Linked DNA regions of Arabidopsis thaliana. The protein of the gene in region 3 interacts with the protein of the main gene of each other region in a pairwise test. Each region holds a gene or a part of one and is shown on either strand. Other genes may lie near its edges.

Region 1 (3,758 bases), on a different chromosome or scaffold from region 3:
TTTTGTTTGGACAGAAGACAAGTTTTGTAATGTAATATGGAACAATGGTTACTAAGATGTTTAGCAAGAGCTTAATTTATAGTATATGATATTGGGATTTGGGAGGGTTTAGGTACATTGTTAATGTTAGGTTTATCGATATTACTGGAGGGAAGGCGTCGTTAGGAACTTTGTCATTAACTTTCTTGAGTTAACATGCGTAAATGCAGTGGCGGACCCAGAATTTGATTATTCCAAAAATTGGACAGAGGAGGAAGAAAAGTCACAATCCCAAACAGTTAATACAAGATCGTAGAAAAGCGTTTTTGGCGCACGTGCGCGGAGAGAGAAAGCAGAAGCAGACCTCACTTTTCTTTTTTTCTTGGTTTTTTCTTGTCTCTGGATCCTCATTGTTGTTCTCACCACCACCTACTAGCTACTACCCACATTTTTCCCCAATGTCGAACTTCTATCCGTTTTCTTCTTTGGTTTTAGGTCTTTCTTTTTGGTAGTTGTACTACAACATGTATACTTTTAATTTGCAGCAAACATGAAACTTCTCCTTTGTCAGCACTCAGCCTTACGGAACAACATGTACCCCTAAACAAAACTCTACATGACCTAGGGGATTTGAAACATCCCAAGAAATGGATTTTTTTTTTTTTTTTTTTTTTTGGGCTGTGATTGTTAATGAAAACCTTTTTATGTATACATTTGATAAAGTAAATACTACATATATTCTAGTAGAATAATACCATTTACCTAATATACTGAAATTTCTTGGGATGTTTCAAATCCCCTAGGTCATGTAGAATTTTGTTTAGGGTTACATGTTGTTCCGTAAGGCTGAGTGCTGACAAAGGAGAAGTTTCATGTTGGCTGCAAATTAAAAGTATACATGTGTAGAACAGCTAACAAACAGAAAGCATAGAAAGAAGGGAACCCTAGGATAAAGAATTAAAAAGGGGAACAAAGATTTATGCTGTTTCTTCTTTATTTCTCATTGGCAAAACGGCAGAATCTTCATTAAGTTGCGTTTTATTATTTTTTCCATTTCTTATAGTAGCCAACTTCCAACTACACCATTTAACCCGGCCGTTTTTTTTTGTTGCTAAGTAATAGGTAAATATCCTATTAATGAAAATTATGATTTACATGAACAATAGCTAAGATTTAGGATACAAACAAGGAAGACGATCAAGGATCTTGAAGATAGAAGTAGGCGCAAATGTGTTGTGAATTATGCAGCATCTTATTTCTTTGCTTCCAAGTTGTATATAAATCACGGCTTGAGTAACTAGCTTCCTTAGTGTATATGTGACTGCATCTATCATATACAGTATGTGTGTAAACTGCGTTTGGTGTAAAATGTAATTATAATTTATAGAAAATAAATTAAAGTAGTGGAACATGGAAATCACCGTTCAGATATTCTAACTGATTCACTATAGACGGAATTCTTGTTTTCGTCCATTGTTTTTACTTTTTAGAATTTTTAAGTAAAATAAATCATCCATTACATCACTGAGGTGACATCATCGCTCAGGGGACATCACTAACTACGTTCCCACTAAAAATATAGGCAAATGCAATCAAGTGAATGATGATGACCTTTCAAGAGTTCGTAGAGATAAATAAAATAATAAATATTTGGCATGTTGAGGATCAAATGAATTAGATGCATAAGAAAGGTACTAGGTAGACCAGGCCCGGCCCAATGTGTTTTGTTGTCTAAAGCAAAACAAAAAAAATTAAGCCCATTAAAGAATAGTTATATTGCCTCGGAAGGGCTCGAATCCATCATCTTCATTTTTTTAGTTTACACGGATTGGAAGTAGGCTACAATGTCCCTGAGGGAAGGTAGGCCCATTATTAGTGACCTGAAGCCCAATAATAATGAAAACGCAAAGAACCTTTTAAGAAGAAGATGACAGAATCTCTAGAGAATAAAAAACTAAACACAAAAATAGAAAATATCGAAAATGAGATGAGAGAGAGAGGAGGAGTCTCTCATCGTGAGTAGGGCTTTTGACTCCCTCCCTACTTTGCCTACTTCTTCTTCTTCCTCTGTGGCCACTCTACACAGTCCACACCTACTTCAAGACACCTTTCTCATCCTTGAGATCGGCGTCAGATCCTCCGCCGCTTCTCCTCTTCACTATCTCCGGTCACAACTTGTTTTTCTCTGTTTTTCTTTATCTCTACTTTATGCACAATCTGACTTTCTAAGTGGATTTACAGTGTTAAAGATGATGGAATCTGGCGCTGGTTTCGTGGCCATGGAAGAGAGGATCTCTCCTGGAAGTTTCTTCCAGTATCCTCTTTCTGGATTCCGTGCTTCTCCTAATCGATCCCCTTGTCCTCCCTCTGATCGTGAAAGGTTTCTATTTTCTCTCTTCTTTCTCAACCTTTTTGCTATTTGTGAATCTGTGTTAGCTTGATTGTTGTGGACCCGTTTCTTCTTCTGGACTTGTTGCTTTAGCACAACTTCAAGTGTGTCTCTTTGTGATTGGTGGGTATTGTTGCCTTTGATTGGATCAGTGTTTAAAAATGATTCTGTCAAGTTTGTATTTTCATGAACTGCTTACACAGATCCAAATTCTCGATCATACTCTCTCACCTCAACATGTCGCCTTTTTCACAATTAGCTCACTTATTATTGGATTCTATACAATGTACTCTTAAGGATTTTAACAAGATAGCTATATTTTATCAATGTTTTAGAAATGAACGTACTGATGTATTTTTAGAAGCTTAGTTTACATGTGACTGAGTGCTGATTCCAATGTCACCCACTCGATTCACACGCAACATCCACTGAAACTTAAGTTTTTTTTGTTCTTAACCTTGTGCAGGTACTTGACTGAATTATTGCAAGAGAGACAAAAGTTGGGTCCCTTTTTGCAAGTTATGCCAAATTGCTGCAGACTGCTTAATCATGGTGAGCTATCTTATTAAGCTATGTGATTTTGAATTTAGTATTTCCTTAGAGTGTGTGCACACGAACTTAAGAAATTTCCCACGTGAACAAAGCCTTAGTGCGCATCACCCTGGCTTTTTTCCAGTTAAAGGTTTACAGAAATTGGGTAAGGATAGTTGAGTAACAAAAATGTATCTACATGCAACTTTTTATTCTCTTTGTTATGGCCTTCTTAATATATATATAGCCAATCAAAGTCTATGTTACTTTTAGCATTTAGAAACAGTTTTTAATTGCAACTTATTGCTAAATGATCATCCTTGATGAGTTATGTTATGTGAAAATGAATTAAGTCTATGTGTTTGCAAATGATAATGATCGTTAAGCAAATGATCACCAACTAATTTATACTAGGAAGCCTATTTGTCCGTAAATATGCATATGGTGATTAGAAGCTTGTTTCCAGACTTGTTTACCTAGCTTTTAGTTGTCCATCATGCCCTTAAGGGATGTGTGAACCTTAAAAGACAAAGATGTGTTTGAAGTTTTCATCATTCTAACCTATTAGAACCCGAGCCTTTTGTTTCATTATTGGCATTAAAGATAAGAGACTGAAGATGCCCCTGATGTATAACTCTTACAGTTTCTTTTATACGTTTGCTTAACTGCCAACATTGCTGACGTCTGTGCAGAAATCAGGAGGGTCTCTAGTTTTCCTGATCTTGATAGATATGAGCATGGCAGTCCATTTAGATCGCTTGGTCAGCCGACAAATGGAAAGCTTGATTTAGAGGGATGGTCGATGATGCAAGCCGAGGTAAGCCACTGCTGATAGTTGTAGTCAATTAACTGATTCATG
Region 2 (3,758 bases), on a different chromosome or scaffold from region 3:
CAAGCAAATTAACGAACAACTTGAAGGAAAGGCCAGTCAAATGAGGAGCTGCAAATTACAGAAAACCATGTAAAAGGCACATTCTCATGTCTATGCAGAAAACCCACAGAATTAATGTGCATTTGTAAAACCAACCAGACCTTTCATGGTTTCAGCTTTATATTTGACAGTAGAAAGATCAACCTCACTTGCACGTTTCATGACCTGATACTTACCCATCTACAAACAAAACATCATTAAGTTTGGAATTGATATCATAGATCACACACGTCACTGTTCTATAAGTCAAACACTTGAGAAAATTGCCAAAACAAAACAAAACCGATGAATCTCTAGTATCTTTCACCTTATCATAAGAATCTGTTATCCAGAATCAGAACAAATTAAGTGAAATAAAAAACAAAAACTGGTAAGAACTATGAGAATCGGAGAATCCAAGTAATCAGATTCAAGGAAACCACGCCAAGGCAGAAATTTCAGAAACCAGAATCACAGGCGAAACGAACAATGGTTGTGGAAGATTCGGATTGCGAACCTGAAAGAAGAAACTTAAAAAGAGGAATCTGAGAAACGATGATCCGATCCGGCGAAGGATTACTAAATGAAGAAAGCCGTGCGGAGATGAGCGGTGAAGTTGTTGGGAACTTGAATGTTATATGTTAGCTTCAAATCTTAAGCTTCTTGTACTGATTTGTACATAATTCAAGTGTACATTGAACTCGTCTCATTTGTTGAAATGTTCCAACCATGTTCTCAAATTTATGAAACTACCCCTTTATTATGTAAATATATAATTTTGGCCCGTTAACTAATGTTTTTCATTATCACACCTAACAATTTCTTTATATTTACGATGAAGTAGTGAAAACACTTTCATTTGCATTCAGTTGGATTTTTTGGTTTCCATATGGAGCCATTTCATATGATACTTACTAATTCAAAGCTAGGAATACTTCATTTATTTGATTTGGTTTCATTTGAACATAATTGGATTTATGTTAGTACATAGTTTCATTTAAAATAATATTCGATTCCATTTTTCTTTTGTGCTTATTAGATTCGAAAAATTTGATTCGTTATAATATTCAAATATTACTACAAGAAAACTATCAATAATAGGACTAACTATATAAGAGGCTCTTAAGTAATCAAAAAGTATGGTCGACATTCGTATAATGCTAAATTCTAGTATATCTAGTGAAATCAAAAGTTTTGGCTAAGATGCATCTTTACCAAAATTCGGTTGATTGACTTGCTCTGCCAAGTACAAACAACCACGAGACACGACTTGATTTATGACTGATCGAGCAACATCGTACCGGGACGGCGGGCCGATTAGTCCATATATATATGGATTATTTAAGAGGATGAGAAAATAATGAACATTTCTAAGTTCTAACACAAAATAATATTGGAAGAAATACTAATCAATGCACATGTCTTCGACAAACAAGGAAAACAACAAAAATTGTTACGTGAATTTGACAATATAAATATTGTTCTTGTACGACCATGATTGCACCTTCGGCATGCTAGTGAAATACGTCTATTATAAGTTTGAATAATTACAACAATTTCACCGTTTATAATAAGGTGCAAGTTGGCAATAATCTAAGGTATATAATAATAGCAAACAATCGAGAAAGTGAGTATACACTCACCGGTGTCAAATTTAAATTATCTTATATTCTTGATGTTAATTTAACATAACAATTTTTTTTTGTTGACCCTTTTACAGTTTTCTTCTGCATGTTGACAGACTAAAAAACATCTATCTTCTAGAACTAACCCAAAGACTATTCGGATGTGTAATACAGTTGATGAATGATGATGATTCAAACATTCAAATATTTGTTATACACAAAAGAAATCCAATAACACAATCATAAAACATATCTAAGCCTGATCAGGCGAAAGATCGACGACAACGACTTTTGTTTTTCCCTTTTTCTTAACTATTTATTTATCACTTAACCTTAAAAATATTGCTTCACTAATGTTGATTTAACAAAATATTAAGAAAAAACATGTAAAAGGCTAAAAGCTGGCCTCTTTCAACGTCGAAGTATCAAAACACTAGTGTTGGGCCCATTCACAGTGTCCCCAAAAGTCATATTAATCCATGGAGAGATTCAGCTAACGTCACAGAACCGTCACATAATCTCATCACCGCCTTAAAACTCATAAAATCTGACAGGCCACGTGTAAATGAGCAATAAGTTCACGTACTCATTTTCCAACACCACCATCACCGATACATAATAAAAACCATTTCATCACAACAGTCTTCTTCATTTCTTTCTAATTTCTTCTCTTCATGAATTAAGCCAAACCAACAAAAAAAATCATTTAATTTTCGCGGAGAGATGGAGAAATTCTCGTACAACTCTTATCCAGATTCAACCGACTCGTCACCGAGATCTCGTGAGATCGAATTCGATAACCCGCCGCCTCCATGGGATGATCAGAACCAGAACCAGCAGCAACATAGCTACAAGGTGAAGTTTATGTGCAGCTATGGCGGCAAGATTCAGCCACGGCCTCACGATAATCAGCTCACTTACGTAAACGGAGAAACGAAGATTCTTTCCGTTGATCGCGGGATTAGATTCCCTGTTTTAGCTTCCAAACTCTCCACCGTATGCGGCGGCGGTGATGGCGGCGGAGGAGAAGTTACGTTTAAGTATCAGCTTCCGGGAGAAGACTTAGACGCTTTGATCTCGGTTACGAACGATGATGATCTGGAGCATATGATGCACGAGTACGATCGCTTGCTTCGTTTGTCGTCTAAGCCAGCGAGGATGCGTTTGTTTCTCTTCCCGGCTTCTTCTGGATTTGGTTCTCAAAGTTCGACTCAATCGGATCGAGATCGCTTCGTCGAGGCGTTGAACACTGTTCCTAGGCTATCTGAATCGGAGAAATCCGTAACTGCTCCTCCGAATAATGCGGATTTTTTGTTTGGATCGGAGAAAGTTGCAGCTCCGCCGCCGCCACCACCGGCTGAGGTGAAATTACCGGTTCCTGTGGCGTTAGAACCGCCTTTGTTTAACGATCCGCGTGTGATTCAACCGGATCACGTCGTAAATCCGATGGAAATTCAAAGACAAATGCAGGAATTTCAGAGGATGCATATTAGGGATCAAGAACAACAACAACAACAGGAAGCTGTATACAGAAGGAAGAGTAACGAAGACGGTTTAATAGAAACCGGAGGTGGATACTTCTCTCCACCGTACATACAAAATCCTGCGCCACCACCGCCACAGCAGACGATTCCTCAAACGAATCCGCAAGCTCCTCCGATGACGACTTTCTGGCAAGGAAACCACAATCCAGGAGTCGTATTTCCAACAACCACACATGGATTAGGATTACCAGAGCAACCAGTTTACATGATCCCATCTCCATCTCCATCTCCGGTGTACCACGCGCCACCACCACCGCAACCGCAAGGTGTCATCAGACCAATACTTACAGGACAAGTAAACCAAGGCGGCTACTATCCTCAGGTACAGAGAGTGGCTTCAGATACTTACAGAGAACCACACCAATCACCGTACAACGTGGCTCAGCCACTTCAGGCACCTATAGGAACAAAAGCAGCACAACAACAACAACCTCCTCCTCCTCAGCCTTTTACCTCTGGTCCTCCACCACCGCAATACACCGCAGTACCACCGCCACGACAAGTAGTAGGATTACCAGATACATCAGCGTATACTCAGGTGACTTACACTGGAGGAATGGGGAAACAAGTT
Region 3 (3,758 bases):
AAGGAAGGTTGAGATTTGGGTTACGAAGAATAAGATTGATACTAGTAACAACAATGGATCAGACGAAGTTGTGTGGATTCACTTGTTGACGTTGCTACCAAATAACTTGCCAAACTTATTTATCGAGTGTTATGGCATTAGTTACTTCATCTATGACAAGACCACCTTCATCATTTATTGTGCTGACGAGAACACTTATGCGGCTTGCATCTATATTGTCAGGGGAGATTTGCTCAAGAAGTTTGTAATTGACACCATGGTTTTCTGTTGTTATAGCTGTGTTTATGCTCCCAATTTTATCCCCCTTCCTTTAATGTAAAAGTTCTGAATATAATAATAAGATGCTTTATTTATTAAAGCTCTCAAATCAACATTTATTTTATTTCACTAGTAGTTTAAACCAATTGACAAAACCGGTTCAGTCAATGTTACAACTTACAATCCAAAACAACAAACCAAACCGGATAAACACCCAAAATGCCCAAAAAAATAACAGAACATGTGACTAAAGCTTTGACAAACGGATGAAATCTAGGCTCTACGACCACTACAATGATATAATATATGTACTGTGCACTGAAATAATACCCAGCAAAATAGTGATCAGTTCCAAAGTCTAAAAGAAATCAGTATGACTCATTACAGTTTTACCAATCCAACATTTGTCGCCATCATAATCAAAATCACACGATCGTAGTCGTAGAAGCCTTTGCGTTGATCGTTACTTAGAGTGATTACCATTATCGTCACATCGTCATGATATCTCCGTCTCCTACCAACCGGAATATTCGTCAACTCTTCCAATGCGAAGCCTAAATCAAAGTGCCAATTTTCGTCTCCTAACTTTCTTGAACCTTTCAAAAAGAAAAATGTCAATTTTATCTTTTCGTCTTCTAATTTTCTAGTCGGACTAGTTGTTGTTTTTCCAATTTAATGTCGGCTTTCAACTCAGGCGTAGCCGGTGTTTTGGTCGGATTAAAATATTCCAAACTTAGTTTTGTCTAAGTGCTGGATTTTTGTGTTTTCTCTTTCTACATGACTTAAAATTAAATCTTGTTTAGATTATGTATGATTTACTGTCGGCTTGGCTCTTCTAAAGGACTAATATCCTTGTAACTTACTACCGACTGGTATGAAGACTGGTATGAAGTGGACCTTTTAAGGTTTTGAGGTGGAGCTTTTTTTGAAGAATTTTTGAATTGAGATCTAAAGATTCGTTGGAGTCATGGCCAGAATTATAAGAACGTACAGCAAAATTTGGCAGGCCGGCGGCGGTAAACCTATAGAAGGAGCTAGCGATGATGGATCTAAAGTCCAGCGACAAAGCTGAACCATATCGTTAGATATGGCTGATAAAGATCGTGTCAATACTCATCCTTCTCACGTGTGGATACTTTTTCACAAGTGGCATTTTTAACTCTTATTTTTTTTAAAAAGTTGGATTTAGAGTAAGTGGGCTTAATTTCAATTTTAAGTTGTAAATGTAGGACTTTGTTTTATCTGTAATGCCAATTTGGTTTTCCATTTTAATAAAAAATAAATAGCCAAAAATAAGGAAAAAATCTTATTTAATTTTTTAAAATAAGTAGGAATCCAATTGAGTTAATAAATAAATATAAATTAGGAATCCAATTATAATTTGGAGTTAGCTGAGACCTGAGAATTACACGAAATTAAATAAATAAATAACTGCTTCCGTTATATATAAATACAGTCTCTAAAGGAACGTCCTAACAAAATCCACCGTGTACTAAAAAGAAAAAGAAAATAGAAGAGACAGTTGTTAGGGTTTTCTCATCAATCAATCAATCATCATCATCACCCAAATCCTTCCGCCGACGTCTCTTTCTTGTTTCCGTTTTCTCTCTCCGATCTCTGACTCATCCATCGTATTGACCAATTCCCTAATCAAAATCCTTCGAATCTCAATTTGCTTCGTTAAGAAATCTGTAGATCTAGCAGAAAAAATTCATATTTGATCTGAATCTGATAAAAAAACGATCACCGGTTGAATCAAAAAGAATCGAATTTTGTTTTCACTGGTTTGTTTCTTTGAGATTTATATGAATAATATGAAGAGATCGAAGAAACCCAGAGTTTCATGGCCACCAGGTCCTAAGCTTTGTCAGGTATAATTAATCCTTATATGTTCCATGTTTTCTTATCCACTTTCTAATCCCAAATTGATTGATCCATCTCACCAAATCTAAACTCTCGATTATAACAATTAACCTAATTTCTGGATCCTAAAATTTCGATTTTGAAGTTTTCCTTTAAACCCAACGAATTGATTGATACGATCTTGAATCGCTGAATTATTTAATTTCAATATCCAATCGAAAAATGGTGAAGAAACCAAGTCTTGTTTGTTGTTACTTTGACGGCTCTTTTGGTATGTAGAAGGCTTTGATTTTTCTATCTTTGAAGATAACGTTTTAGCTCATATAGTTTACATGAAATTGATTTGAATCAACAAAGATATATTCAAGGTTTTGGATTTGGAAATTTGAATCAACATACAGTTAGATTTAGATTGAAACAAGATATGATCAAGTTTTGAAGTTTGAATGCATCAATCCAATACTCTGCAACTACAAATTTACAATCTTTTTACAGATAGACTTGGGAAGCCTTATTGGTTTAGTTACATAGTTTTGATACACGAAAAAGTCAGCTTTGGTTAGCTTCTAACTATGCGGATTTTGAACAGGTTAAGGTTTTTCGAACAGAGGACAGTCCTGCCAATGTAGCCTCTCAGCCTCAACGTCATAGCTACCCATCTAGGAAACCTCGAGGGCCAGATCTTCCACCTGGTTTTGAAGGAAATCACTATGCAGTTAAGCCTAATGTTTCAAACATTCCTCGCATCAAATGGAAACGACCTCCTCCCAAGGTATATTTTTTATACTGTAAAGAATTGGTGAATCCCTTTTGAATCTTTTTTTATCATATCTGATATTAATATTATGTGTCTTGGACAATGCAGTTCTCTGTCAATGATACTTGGCTGGTTGGATGTGGTGGCGGGAGCTCAGAATGGCAAAATGAAAACTTGAGGATTTCAAAAGTGCTGGAAGCTATCTATCCTCATCGCTCTGCCATCCCTTCTCGGTATTTTACCTTCTTCTCTTAGGTTATTCAACATTGTGTTGGTGTGTTAGTTAGCCTGCTGATTGCATTCTGTTTTCATGTAGACCCTCTGTTTCACCGGCTGTGGAAGCTGAATGCTTTGATGACAGCAAAACTCCTGCCATTCGTCTCACTCCTATTGAAGACGAGAGTGAATCTTCTTCAGAGGAGTCATCCAACAGTAAGGTTGAATCAGGTGTTACCGCAAACAAGCAGGGTCAGTTGGAGACCAAACCTCTATGTTCAACCCAAGAACAGGTTTCTGGTCTTACTGGTCTTGCACCAGACTTGAGTCTGGCTGCTTCTGCAGCTCTGACTGCACTGATGAAAACCAAGGAACAAGGGAGTTTGGTCGATACTGAGCTACTTATCAAGTTCCTCAGCGACCCAAAATTAATCAAGAATCTTATCACTGACACATCAGGTAAATCCTCTGAAACTAAGAATCAGCCCATTGTCACTAACATCAACTCTGCTACTAGACCTGTTCCGCAGCCTGTCAGTGCTGTCACCGCCTCACCCATGGCTAGAAAGCCGCAGCCAGTGATAATACCTCAAGAACACAGTGTTGCAGTTTCTCGGTCTTTTACTAACCCTGAGAGGCGAGTATCACCTCCCAAGCCTGTAAA

What was found.
Region 1: the proteins of AT3G51180 (region 3) and AT1G09660 interact in a two-hybrid assay, tested with the Arabidopsis thaliana proteins (one large-scale study listed by BioGRID).
Region 2: the proteins of AT3G51180 (region 3) and AT5G64430 interact in a two-hybrid assay, tested with the Arabidopsis thaliana proteins (one large-scale study listed by BioGRID).

What each region holds. Positions count from the first base shown.
Region 1 is NC_003070.9:3,129,262-3,133,019, reverse strand, and holds the start of AT1G09660 (RNA-binding KH domain-containing protein), read left to right. Parts: upstream 1-1,925; 5' UTR 1,926-2,146; exon of another isoform or gene 2,147-2,220; 5' UTR 2,221-2,228; coding exon 2,229-2,359; intron 2,360-2,834; coding exon 2,835-2,920; intron 2,921-3,591; coding exon 3,592-3,716; intron 3,717-3,758.
Region 2 is NC_003076.8:25,762,690-25,766,447, reverse strand, and holds the start of AT5G64430 (Octicosapeptide/Phox/Bem1p family protein), read left to right. Parts: upstream 1-2,027; 5' UTR 2,028-2,366; coding exon 2,367-3,758. Other genes in the region: FAAH (fatty acid amide hydrolase), read right to left, coding at 1-48, 141-219.
Region 3 is NC_003074.8:19,011,657-19,015,414, forward strand, and holds the start of AT3G51180 (Zinc finger C-x8-C-x5-C-x3-H type family protein), read left to right. Parts: upstream 1-1,732; 5' UTR 1,733-2,063; coding exon 2,064-2,129; intron 2,130-2,710; coding exon 2,711-2,893; intron 2,894-2,986; coding exon 2,987-3,111; intron 3,112-3,194; coding exon 3,195-3,758.